Linked DNA regions of Solanum lycopersicum. The protein of the gene in region 2 binds, or shares a complex with, the protein of the main gene of each other region. Links are inferred from orthologs where the notes say so. Each region holds a gene or a part of one and is shown on either strand. Other genes may lie near its edges.

The links.
Region 1: probable chlorophyll(ide) b reductase NYC1, chloroplastic (region 2) and lethal leaf spot 1-like protein share a complex: the UniProt entries of both Arabidopsis thaliana proteins name them as parts of the SGR1-CCE-LHCII complex. The link is inferred for Solanum lycopersicum from reciprocal best matches to the Arabidopsis thaliana genes NYC1 and ACD1.
Region 3: probable chlorophyll(ide) b reductase NYC1, chloroplastic (region 2) and red chlorophyll catabolite reductase, chloroplastic share a complex: the UniProt entries of both Arabidopsis thaliana proteins name them as parts of the SGR1-CCE-LHCII complex. The link is inferred for Solanum lycopersicum from reciprocal best matches to the Arabidopsis thaliana genes NYC1 and ACD2.

Annotation. Positions count from the first base shown.
Region 1 is NC_090810.1:57,602,861-57,606,956, forward strand, and holds the start of lethal leaf spot 1-like protein, read right to left. Parts: upstream 2,802-4,096; 5' UTR 2,713-2,801; coding exon 2,293-2,712; intron 2,200-2,292; coding exon 1,964-2,199; intron 1,634-1,963; coding exon 1,507-1,633; intron 634-1,506; coding exon 497-633; intron 87-496; coding exon 1-86. UniProt on the Arabidopsis thaliana protein: Catalyzes the key reaction of chlorophyll catabolism, porphyrin macrocycle cleavage of pheophorbide a (pheide a) to a primary fluorescent catabolite (pFCC). Works in a two-step reaction with red chlorophyll catabolite reductase (RCCR).
Region 2 is NC_090806.1:26,308,526-26,312,685, forward strand, and holds the start of probable chlorophyll(ide) b reductase NYC1, chloroplastic, read left to right. Parts: upstream 1-1,359; 5' UTR 1,360-1,824; coding exon 1,825-2,094; intron 2,095-2,169; coding exon 2,170-2,248; intron 2,249-2,327; coding exon 2,328-2,463; intron 2,464-2,526; coding exon 2,527-2,601; intron 2,602-2,673; coding exon 2,674-2,869; intron 2,870-3,258; coding exon 3,259-3,327; intron 3,328-3,894; coding exon 3,895-4,034; intron 4,035-4,160. UniProt on the Arabidopsis thaliana protein: Involved in chlorophyll b degradation. Belongs to the chlorophyll catabolic enzymes (CCEs).
Region 3 is NC_090802.1:10,423,285-10,427,527, reverse strand, and holds the start of red chlorophyll catabolite reductase, chloroplastic, read right to left. Parts: upstream 2,806-4,243; 5' UTR 2,739-2,805; coding exon 2,406-2,738; intron 1-2,405. UniProt on the Arabidopsis thaliana protein: Catalyzes the key reaction of chlorophyll catabolism, porphyrin macrocycle cleavage of pheophorbide a (pheide a) to a primary fluorescent catabolite (pFCC).

The DNA.
Region 1 (4,096 bases), on a different chromosome or scaffold from region 2:
CTGGTGCCATAGGTACATTAAAGGAACAAATCCATATCACCCACTTCTGATCACCCACGATTGGAAGCTTTGTGTCGATCTCTATTCTGGAAAATTTTCCAATGAGATCTTAGTCATACTATGCAAATAGTTGCAGCATGGATGGAGCTAACATTTACATATAAAACGTAATTCATACAAAGATATAAAGACATGTATACCAACAACAAAGCGAACTTCCATCTATTGATGCGCAAAGCCTTGTACAAACCATGCACCTGGTCTGGAAAGCTATACCTTAAAGAACCCGACTTGAACAGGATATAATGCCCACAACCATAAGAGTATAGATACATAATGCTACTAATGTCTCGTTTTGTTAGCAGATAACAGACTCTGTGAAGTAGGAGAAAGAGAAATGTGATGCAAGCATATCTACCTAAAGATGATTAATTTATACATGATTGCTTGCCTTGATAGTCAAGAAATTTGATCTACTTTAGGATGATGAACTTACTTATTCATTGAGTAACAAGGTGCGACAAATTTTGCAGTAATTTTTGGTTTATCATTGTTCGCACCAGCAAAACCCCAAGGTCCAGATGCCTCCATCTTGAATGGCAAGGGCTTTGCTCTGTCTCGCCTTCCAGTAACCTGTAAAATATCAACAAGTAAGTTAAGAGACATGTGTTGTTGGACACCAAGCAAGCAGCAGCAGTATCACTCTAGTAAAAATGCACATCTATATATACACCGTATTCTGTTATCTGATACATGAAGCCCTTTGCTAATAATAAAGTCGTTTAGCGACTGAAAAGATGAAAGCTCTACTTCAGATCTTTCTGAAATTTATATTTACAGATAGATACACACAACATTGTCTGTAAAGGTTATTTTAAGGATCGTCTGGCACGCTGTTCAGTATCTAGACTCCAGAGAGCCTAATCCTGTCAGCTGAATATGAAGCAACATCCAGAGTCAAAACATGTTATTCAGCATCCACACTCCGGATAGCCTAATCCTATCAGCTTCATCTTTTAAGATGGTAAGATCGAAAAACTATCCATAAATTGATAAAAGTAGCACTGAAGTCATAAGAGTGATAGTTAAGATTCCCATGGCGTACTTCTACCTATTGCTCTCCAAGTATGGCTTTTACCTAATAATTGCACAGAAAGTAAGGTTATGAAAACTTGTATAAAACAATGAGCAACACTCAAAAGCTACACCTTTATACCGTTCCAGATAAAGAGAAAATCCTCCAAGGAACGACCTTATATATGTTTTGGCCAAGCACAGCGAGCTACTTGGCTTAAGAGTTCAAAAGTTCACTTTTTTCACATGTGAAACAGTTTGAGTTCATATTTTCATGGAAATCAAAAACCAAACAACCCGTAGCTTATGAGAACTCAGAACTAACCCTGAAGACTATTCATTTTTAGCATGTAAGGATAAAACCTTAGGTCTGAAAGTGGATTCTTAACTATATTAGAAGCCAAAAAGGAATGAAAATGTTGCAAAAAATACCTTGTGGTGTGCAAAATCAATGTGAGAAGGATCAGAGACGTTCTCCATGAGAGTGTCATAGCCATAAAACAAATCACGCTGAATTGTCACAGTTGCAAACTCAGGCTTATCAAAATCTTCAGGCAACCTACAAATATCCCATTAAACAACAAATTTAAATCCCACTAAAAGTATACTCAAGTCTACCAACTATAATATCTTGATCAACGCGATAGGTAGGGGAATGGGATTCGATTCTTCAACCACACATGCAGGGCATCAACCAAGTGAGCTACCAAATCAATCTCATTATCCAGCAATAGCTTAAATAAAATACGAAGAACATATTTTAAGCAAGTCATTGTACTAAAGATAATCGATTAGTATTATAATATAAACCAAGTCACTATAGTAGAGATTAATATATAATAATATAGCATAACTTCGAACTAGTTTAATTAATTATTCAGAAACTTACATGGGCGGCTTTGTTGCCTGAGCTCTCTCCCATCCATTTTCATCAGGCCAAACAAAGAGTAATCCTTGAGAAACCATAGTAGGAAATCTAGTAGCACAAGCTCTTGGAGACTGAAAAGCTTTAGCTTCAGGTCCTTGAGATGCAGCTTGAGGTATCCTTGTACAAGAACCACATCCATTAAATGACCATCCATGATATGAACACTGCAAATCACCATTTTCATCTAATCTCCCTTCCTACAAACACCCATACATCAAAAACTTTAAAGAGGAGTGCTAAAAACACATATAAAAAGTATCCTCAAGCAAAATCGAGAAGTGGATTTGTACAGATAAAGGAGCAAGACGATGAGGGCATTTGTCATCCAAAGCAACCCACTGAGATCCAGATTTATCAAACCAGATAACTATATCACGATTCAGTAGCTGAAACGGTGTGGGTAAACTCGGGTCGAGATCTTCCACTAATGAAACTGGGTACCAATGATCTCTCCAAGAGAATTTCGACGACGAATCTTGTTCATCATTTTCTGTATCTTCAATATCACTAGATTTTGAATCTAGCTTCTCTTCTTCTTCAGTAGCTGTTGTTGTTGTTGGAGGTGCAGCTACTCTAAGAGGAGATGAAATTAGCGTATTTTTTTTCCTTGTAATTTGAAGAAAATTATGAGGTTTGAAAGGTAGTGAAGACTGTAAGGAAGATGAAATTGAAAGAATTTGAGGAGTTGGTAGTAACAGAGAAGAAACCATTATTGAGTTAATCAATGTTTTGTGTTACTAATACACATATGTTCAAGTAAAGAAGAAGAAGAAGGATTTGCGTGCAAGTTATGAACAATGTGTTTGAATTGGAATTTGATGAGTTTTGTGGTTTGTGAGGGAGGGCCCAGAAAATGAAAGCTGTGGTGGTGGTGCTTTAGGGAGAAGAAGAGACCGTGTTAACGCGGAGTGGTAAATACTTCTTTTATTTGGTTAGAGTTCTTAGGCTTGACTCATTCGAATATGGAATCGTATTTTTATTAGAGAGCTCTTTATTCTCAACGTGACACAAATTCAAATTTGATTAGGTTACACATGATAATAATTGTGAAAGTAAAGAGGAGATAAAATCAATGGTTAAATGTCAATAGCAAAATATTTCTATTACACACTTTCAACTCAAAATTTTAAAAAAATATATTTCTAACATGTGTTTGGAGTAAGGACTAAGGAGTGGAAAAGAAAATGATCTTGAAATGTCACAATATTTAGATAAGTTATTTAGTATAATTTCATAATATATCATATCGTAGCATATTACATTATATATTATTTTGATAAAAATATATTAATATATCCTATCGTTATCGATTGAATGTCATAATCAATACTTACAAGAAAATAAGATAGATCTAAGATCGAAAAAAAGATGAAATAAAATTATTAAACAAAATGAGAAGAAAGAAAAATAAAATTATAATACAGTCACACCAAATTGATGATTATACAAAATAAAAATTTTTCAATGTTATCTAATAATAAATTTAACAATACAGTACAGTAATAAAAGAGTCATTTTCTTAAAAGATTTCACCAACCAAATATGGAAAATATGTCAAAACACGCCCTAGTAGCAACAATTTTCTTCTTTGCTTTTTTTTTCTATTCATAAAAAAAAATCTAGTTCTATTCCCAATTCCCACCAATGTTTTCCTTTTCTTTTACTTGAATTTGGTATGAAAGTAAGTGCCTTCTTCCATTTAAACCAAATCATTAAAAAGAGGGGGGGAAAAAAAATTCAATTTTCCCTTTCTTTTTACCCTCATTTTCAAACTTCTTACTGAAAATTCTAGCCCCGTTCCACGCAGCATATTACATATTGTTGTTTCTGAACAATAAAGCAACATCACACTTACATATCTGAAAATCTCTAAAAGAACAATTTTTCTTGAAACAGTAGTGTCCAAGCTAGATAGGACGCTCCTCGATCACACTCTCAAACATGCAAATTTCCTCCAGAGTTTTCGATAACAATGGTGTCCAGGCCAGCTAGGGTGCTCCTGGATCACTCTCAAACATGCTAATTTCTCCTGAGCCAGTTTCAACAGACTCTCATTATTATCTCTTTTCATTGAATAGAAAGAAAAAGGGGAAA
Region 2 (4,160 bases):
GTTTCGGAACGTTCCCAATCTACCAATTTTTCAATATTCGTAAGTAAGCAATTTTTTTGTAGACATTCAAATTATTATATGTCTATCATAGACGCTAAAACTCACACATATTTTCAACAAACTCCAAATCTTGATATATATTGGTATGCCAATTTTTTTTCACACTTGCTAAATTTCAAGCCAAGAACTTAACTCTAACCTCTTCAAATGGACTAAAACTCAATGTTAGATCATATAAAATAACACCTAATAATTAATTACCAGTCCCAATATATTAAAAACTAGCATTTTAATATATGAATACACGTGAACAAAATTTCCACCCATTGGCAGAAGTGGAACGCCCCTCCCCTTTTCCCGTTTTTTTGTGCTATTTGTTCTGCATGCCAATTAAAGCATTCCCCCATTGTTGGTACCTTTAAATTCTGAGGTGTGAGTATACCCACCCGACCTGAGCATAACTCCAAGAAGACAACCTCTGGTTTCAAGAAATTGATCACTGCCTTAACTTCTTGGCAGGATTCCGAAGAAACGTGAGCAGTGCTAACAACATACACATCGCGAATGCCTCCATTGGCAGAAGATTGGTTTTTTTTTCCACATCTCCACCAATTCTCCCATTATCAATATAGCATAGAATAATAATACAATCCCAAACACTCCGACAATATATTACTATATATAGAATTGAAAAGAACGAATATCTCATATCTTTACCTGAACAATGGCTGTGATTTTCTCCCTCTCGCTGGTAGCCTGTGATAAGGTTTCGCCTCCTTACTTTTCGTTTTTTCTTTTCTTCTAAATAAGAAATTATTAATCGTGAAACTCCACTAATCTATTATCTAATTATTTATTTAATAAAAGTTTCATCAATTAGGTACTCATAGTTATCTAAAAGCTTAAAAATAACCCTTTAAATTTTCAAAAGGAGCCAAACTAGTCCTACTTCTCAAAACGACCTAGCGGGTAGTTACAATAACAATATAGGAATACAATAAAATTTCTAATTATAAACAATAAAATAAATTAATAGGGTAAATATGTAATTTGTCACTTTAATACATGTATAAATAATACCCGCATAACTTATTTTACTTTCTACCTTACATAACTTTATACATAGATTCCCTCATAAGTTATGTTGATATAAATTATATAAAACTACAAAAATGCAACCAAACATGATATAAGTTATGTTGACTTTTCTACCTAAACAAGAATTTCTACTAAATATTGCATAACTTAATACATTATTTTATACATGAACAAGAGACAAGTTATACCATAACCAAACAGTGTTGAAAAATCACTCAAAATGTGATAATGTTAAATGCCCAAACAAGTAGGTACATAGCTACCACAATGGATCATATTATCTTAGAAATATACATACAGAATTCATGAATAAACTCAAATAGACAATTCACTTGCGTATTTGATTTTTGTTAAACACATTAGAATTGAAGTTTTGATTATTTTTGAAACACAAGTGGGAGAAGGAGATAATGTTGACGGTAATATATATGCGGACCTACAATGACACGTAGCAGATGAAACGTGTAGATAAAGAGTAGCTTTAACGTGTGGTCATCAACTTGGTTTCCCTTTGATCTTTCAAAAATCAAATTCCTTCCAACTCCTTAGATATTTTCTTTTTGTAGTAGACTAGATCCGAGAAAATTTCAAGTCACACAATCCAAATCCCTAAAAATTTGGATATTTATATCTCTTTCCTTGCATATATATAAAATTCATATAGATCTTTGTAAAACAAAACAAAAAGTGCACCATTTTTCTTTTTTATTTTTATTAAAATAATAAATGGACATGGTGGCGAAGGTACACGTGTCAACGCACCACCTACTACCGAGCAGTAATGTTTTCCGGCCTTCGATTGTGAAGGTTCATGGACGACGTAGAGTTTTTGTACAACCTTGCAGGAGCTTTAAGTCTGATGATGCTGAGTATGTGAAGGTGAACAAGTTGGTTGGAGCTATTAGGTCTGCTGTATGGAGTTGTTCAAAGCCAAGTTTGAGAACTGAAAATAAGCTTAGAGAAGCTATGGAGATGTTGGAAGAGAGATTATTCTGGGTACATATGTTTCTTACACATCTTTAACATCAATTGAGAATGGGAAAAAGTTAAATTTGTATTCCAATCTTGCAGTTGGCTTTATATGTTGGAAGATATATTATAACAATGATGAGCACAGGTGTTGTCATGTTCGTTGGGTTTCAGTTGTCAGGTTAGCAAATTCATTTATCATCTTTTGAAAGTTTTTAAGGCATGGATTGATTGGTAACAACTAATTCTAATTGTTACAGGTGGAGATAGCCAGATGAATGAATTGATATGGTACAGCTGGCTTGGAGGAATTATTATCGGCACTATGATAGGATCCAATTTAGTTTTGGATGATGTTGCTCGAGCTGGCCCCCGTAATGTCCTTATAACTGGAAGGTATAATACTTTACTCATACCTTCATTGTTTGTAATTACCATTTTAATTATTTTTTGGTGCAGTACAAGGGGACTAGGGAAAGCTCTTGCCCGCGAATTCTTACTTTCTGGAGATCGGGTCATTGTTACCTCCCGCAGGTAATTAATTGATTATTTGCATCCACTTATTTTGTTTAGCATCTCTTGTAAATACATCATTCCTTAACACAGCCCGGCATCTGTCCGTTTGACTATCGAGGAGCTTGAGGAAAATCTGAAGGAAGCTGTCAATGCTGCCACCGGCTCTGCTAGACTAAAGTTGGCACATGCAAAACTGGTTGGTATGGCTTGTGACGTCTCTGAACCTGTTGATGTTAAAGAACTGGGCAAGTTTGCTGCAGATGAACTTGGTTATATTGACATTTGGGTGAGTAATTTTCTTTTTCTTCATAGCAAAAGACCACCACAACAACAATATACCCCGTCAAATCCTACAAAGTGGGGTTTGGGAGGGTAGAGTGAGTGTACACAGACTTGGACTTTACCACTACCTCGAGGAGGTAGAGAGACTGTCTCGAGAAGACCCTAGACTCAAGAGCATTAAACCCAAGTAAAAGGAGAGAAAATATTGGAAGTGTCAAGAGAAAAACAATAACAGTAGGATAATCAAAATACAATACACAACATATGACAAGAACTACAGGGTTGTGAGTAGAAAATACAGTCATCCACATCCAGAGGACTTGTGAGGAAAAACAGCCTCTTTCCTGGTTTGTTGTTCTGTTTTCATGCTTCTAAAGGTTGTCTTTTATATAGGTAAACAATGCTGGGACAAACAAAGGCTTTCGACCCTTGCTGGAGTTCACCGACAATGATATTCAAGAGGTATCCATGTTGTTGACAGTTCTCATATGTTTATGTTGATACTCTACAACTTCTTCCATTTCTAAACTCTTGCAAAATAATTGCTTTCAAGGCTGCATATATAATAGAAGATGGATCGGGGGTGGGTCGGTATTAGGGTGGGGTATATTAAATTGTCAAGTAAGAGCTGCTTTTGTTGTTTTCCCCCCTCTCTTGTGGAAGGGTGGGTGGTGTATGCACTGTGGGTTTTCTAACTGTTCAGTTGCAGAACTTTGTTAACAAATTATTTTCCCCGTCCCCCCAACACCTATATGTAGTTTGTATACTTTATATACCAGGTCACTCATTTTAACTTTCCGTTTTCCTGGAATTATCCATCAATATGTACTAATGCCTTCTTTTAACTACTACTTGAAAATTTCCCCGTTTCGTCATGCATAGCAAGGTGTTCATGCTTGTTGACCTTTTCAAGTTAACACTCCATGTGCATATAATAATCAACTATCTGCTGTGTGTACTTGCATGATGGGTAAGCTAATATTCTAGTAAGTATTTCTGGTCTGTTGCTTACCAAATTTTTTTATACAGATTGTCTCAACAAACCTGATTGGTTCTATACTATGCACTAAAGAAGCCATCCAAATCATGAAAACCCAAAGCGAAGGTGGACATGTCTTTAATATGGATGGTGCAGGTTCTGGAGGATCTAGCACCCCTCTAACAGCTGTGTAAGTTGATTGTTGTGGTTGTAACTTGGAATGCTAGGTTATCTATTGTAAATAGCAGATCTTTACCATTTATTCATCTAATACTTTTCTAATGGATATTGATTTCGGTGTTATCATCTTTACTGT
Region 3 (4,243 bases), on a different chromosome or scaffold from region 2:
CTTTTATTATAGGCATTAGAAAAAGAACACTAAATGGACTTGTCAAAGAACTCTCAATGGAATGACTAACTATAAGCGGAGGAATGGAACTGGATAAGAATAAATGAACAGAAGCCAGATCCAAATTGCTATCTCCCTGATGCTTTTGCAGTCCTTATGTATAACTCCCCAAGAAGACATCAGGTGAATGCAACTTGCAGAGAACTACAAATTATGAACAAGGATAATTCTTGAAATCGAGCAGTTACATTGGTTGGTCAATTTTGGATGCACACTCTCTTAGCTTCTCTCTATGAAGATCTATTGATCTTTTCAGCAAACACCAATTGTGCATCGGAACCCACCTAAAACACTAGTTATACATTCAATCCATACTCATCTCAACCAACTGCAGTCTCTCCTACACCGACAACTCAGTAAAACGCACCCGCTCTCCTACAACCCCCAATGGTTAGTTTGAACCAATCCAGCCGAAAAATCCCAAACACACAATAATCAACTCCTTCTAGCACCAACAACCACAACACCAATAAACATCATCCCCTATTTCTTCCAATCCTTCAGAGGAACAACACATGGACAATAATAAACTCCTAAAGCTTGCCCCTAACAGTTCACCAGAACCTCCAACTTGCTATTAACACTCAGCCTACTCTTTTGCAGATCACGCATGCAACACCTCAACAGGAAAATACTACCCATTCAAAATCCACCCACCAAAATCATTTAACCCCTCAGCCAAAGGTGTCCTCAGATTTCACACACCCTCTTCAAAATTGAAATCGGATGACGCGACCAACATCAATGGAACTGATCATAACCCTGTTGCCACTGATAAATCAGAACCCCAATATTCAACTCCAACAGAAACATCCCAATTTAGCAGGGAAAGGTAAAAGGGTGCTACTTCATCGAAACCAACCTTCACAGAAAGGTTCAAGCTGATTTGCCAATGCCTCAATCGCCGAAGCTCCTGTTGAAATTAGGCATGAGACTCATCTCGGAAAGCCAACCATATATTTCTCTGCTGATGACTATTTCGTGAATTTGGCTAATAATTGCAAATGACTATTGTGGGTAAATTTATCAAAGGAACCTACTATGAAAGAACTAAGGAAAATTTTTGTGAGTCAATTTCAATTGAAAGGAAGAGTCGAGATTGGGTACTACAACTACAACACTATTTACATTGACTTTCTGTAACAAAACAGACTTCAATAACATTTTTTCAAGTCATTCATTCACATTGGGTCGGTCATACACTATGAAATCCTGAGATGTGCACAGAATTTTAAACCAGAGCAAGAAACTTCTATTGTTCCAGATTGGATACTAGTTCACAACTTACCTCAGCACCTATTCAGATGGGAAACTCAGTGCCGCCAGATATTGAAGTTGGGAATGGTAATGGTGAGAAGGTGAGATTGCAGATCATATGAATTTTCCCCCTACAGCTCCTGAAGCTAGGGAATGGGGAACAAGCAGAGATCAAACTACTTTGACAAGATCACAGAAAAACTAGTTGAGATGTATTTCACAGAACAAACTGCAAACTATTAAAATATTAGTGGGAGTTTGCAGCACATTCACGAATTTTGTTTGTTATATATTTTTTAATTGTAACGAATGGATTGTTATTTACTAGAAAGTGCAAGATATATAGCTTGAACAAGAAATACTCAATTTGAAATTAGCTCAAAGGAAACAGATTTGATAAAAATCTTGTCTGACTTCATTGGGTGAATAAAACCAAAAATACATTTGCTGATCTTCTTAACTCCCATCACCACATTATACAGATAAGTATTTGGCATTTCAATTCATGTTACTTCTATTAAAAGAATTAGCATACATAGTAAAAAGGACAATCTACAAAAAGCACAATGCGTAATGGATTAACTCTTCTGCATAAGCCAAATCCACTAAAATAAGATGACAAGATCTAGCTTTCTCAATCATTATTCTATAGTACATAATAATTTTCTTGTTTTCTTTATCAACTTCACTATGTACAAGATAGTAGTGTATTCATTCATATTGAAGGGCATTAGGAGAAAATTCTTGGCGTTTTTTTTTTGGTTGCATACTTTATGCATGCTCAAGCCTTGAAGCAAGGCTTACACATGTTGACCACTTCGCTTAATGTGCACTTCAGTGTCGTCATTAAGTCCCAAGACAAACTTTTCCTTGAAAATAAGGGTTCTAAACTATTGGTATCACACTTTATTATTATGAAAATCAATTTCTTTGTCCATAGATTTGTTATTCACCCTGTATATACTAATTCAACAAAACATCCAACAGGAAGTAATTCTATATCATACTACATATAATTGACACAACTGCAAAAACGAATGAATAGGTAATAAATAGTAGAATCAATTGAGGAGGTAGTCGGAGAGTACCTGAGAAGAGGAATTTCCAGATCTGACATAGAGAGAAGCATGAGCAGTAGCAGATTCATTCTCAAAATACTGCACATGAGAAGGCAGAGTACAAGGAAGTAGAGACTCTCCAAGACGATTCTCCACAGTCGATACAAGTTCCACCATTAACTCTCTATGCGGAACAGATGCATAAGGAAATTCCTTAAATTTCGATTCATGATGTTCCATGGAAGTTGATGACGACGAGCAACAGAAGCGTTTTCCGACGGAAAAAGAACGAGAGGAAGAAGAGGGGAGTGATTGTGTGAGAATTGAAGTGTGAAATTTGGCAGAGGAGAGTGGAACAGCCATAGCAGGAGGACTGTCATGTTCACTGCTATCTCTTTGCTTTTTGGGAAGCAAACGAACATCACGTGCTGTGGCCCATGTAATACGCTGTCGTTTGTATTTTTAAAAATCAGAATTTTGAATTAGGATTTAAAATACAAAAATTTGATTAAACATATCTTAAACATGGTTATTTTAATCAAATTTTTGTATTTTAAATCCTAATTCAAAATTCTGATTTTTAAAAATACAATATATATATATATATATACCAGTCATTTATTTCATATGTAAATAAAATTTATAATTTCTATCATGATTTTTTAAACGGTTTGTATCTCATATAATGATTGTTCTCGCAATATGAATTTATTTTGACTTTAAATTAATGCATTTCTTAATTTATCAATTATATCTATGAAAATTATTATATTTTATCAAATTTATAACTATAGTTTTAAAAAACTTGAATTGGTCCATAATATAAAAAGGAACTTTGCATATATTCACTCAAAAATAGCCTAATTATGCTTCATAGTTATAATTTGTTAATTACAATTCGTAGCTATATGTTATAGAGAAAGAGAGTGACGAGAGAGATTGAGAGAGGGATAAGAGATACGAGCGAGAGAGTGAGAGGTGAATTACACATGTATATCAGGTAGATAATTGTGTATTATACATATGTATTTCTATATATGGCAAGCGAGATTGAGAGAGGAGGGAGAGAGATGAGCGAGATTGAGAGATGGAGGAGAGAGGGTAGAAATGGGATAGAGGTAAATTGTGTATGTATATTGGTTAGATAATTGAATATTATTCATATAGGTTTTGTATATATGACAAGTAAGATTGGGAGAAGGAGGAGAGAAGCGAGCTAGGTTGTGAGAGGGAGGAGAGAGACGAGCAAGATTGGGAGAGAGAGGAGAGAATCAAGCGAGATCGGGAGAGGGAGGAGAGAGGCAAGTGAGAGAGGGCAATAATTTGTATATTCGCATCTCGTTTGTATAATTCGTGGGTACCTTTGTATAATTCCGTGTTTTTGCATGATTGAGCAATATTAAGTTTAAAATTATACAAATATGAAAAAAAACACCTCAAAATAACGAATTGATATAAATATACATTTATTGACTTTAAATAGTTACATTAAATAAATTATATTATAAAAAAAAAGTGCACGTTTATACAAACTTTTGAAAGCTATACACAAAAAGATTGAATATATAAAGTGACAAAACTGAGAAACCAAAGGAAATTATCTCATATGCAAATACAAATCATCGTATAGAAATATAAATCAAACAAAGAATTGTTAGTTGTGAATTATACGAATGTGGATAATTATACAAACGTGACTAATTATACAACTCGAAGTCAGCCCACATAATTAATGGTTAATGTTAGTCGCATGTGGTAATTATAGCAAACTATAACTATAATGAGTAATTAAGCTGTATAAGTTTGCTTAATCGCATAATTTTTCGTAAAATATAGATAACATGGGATAAATCCAAATACCATGCAAA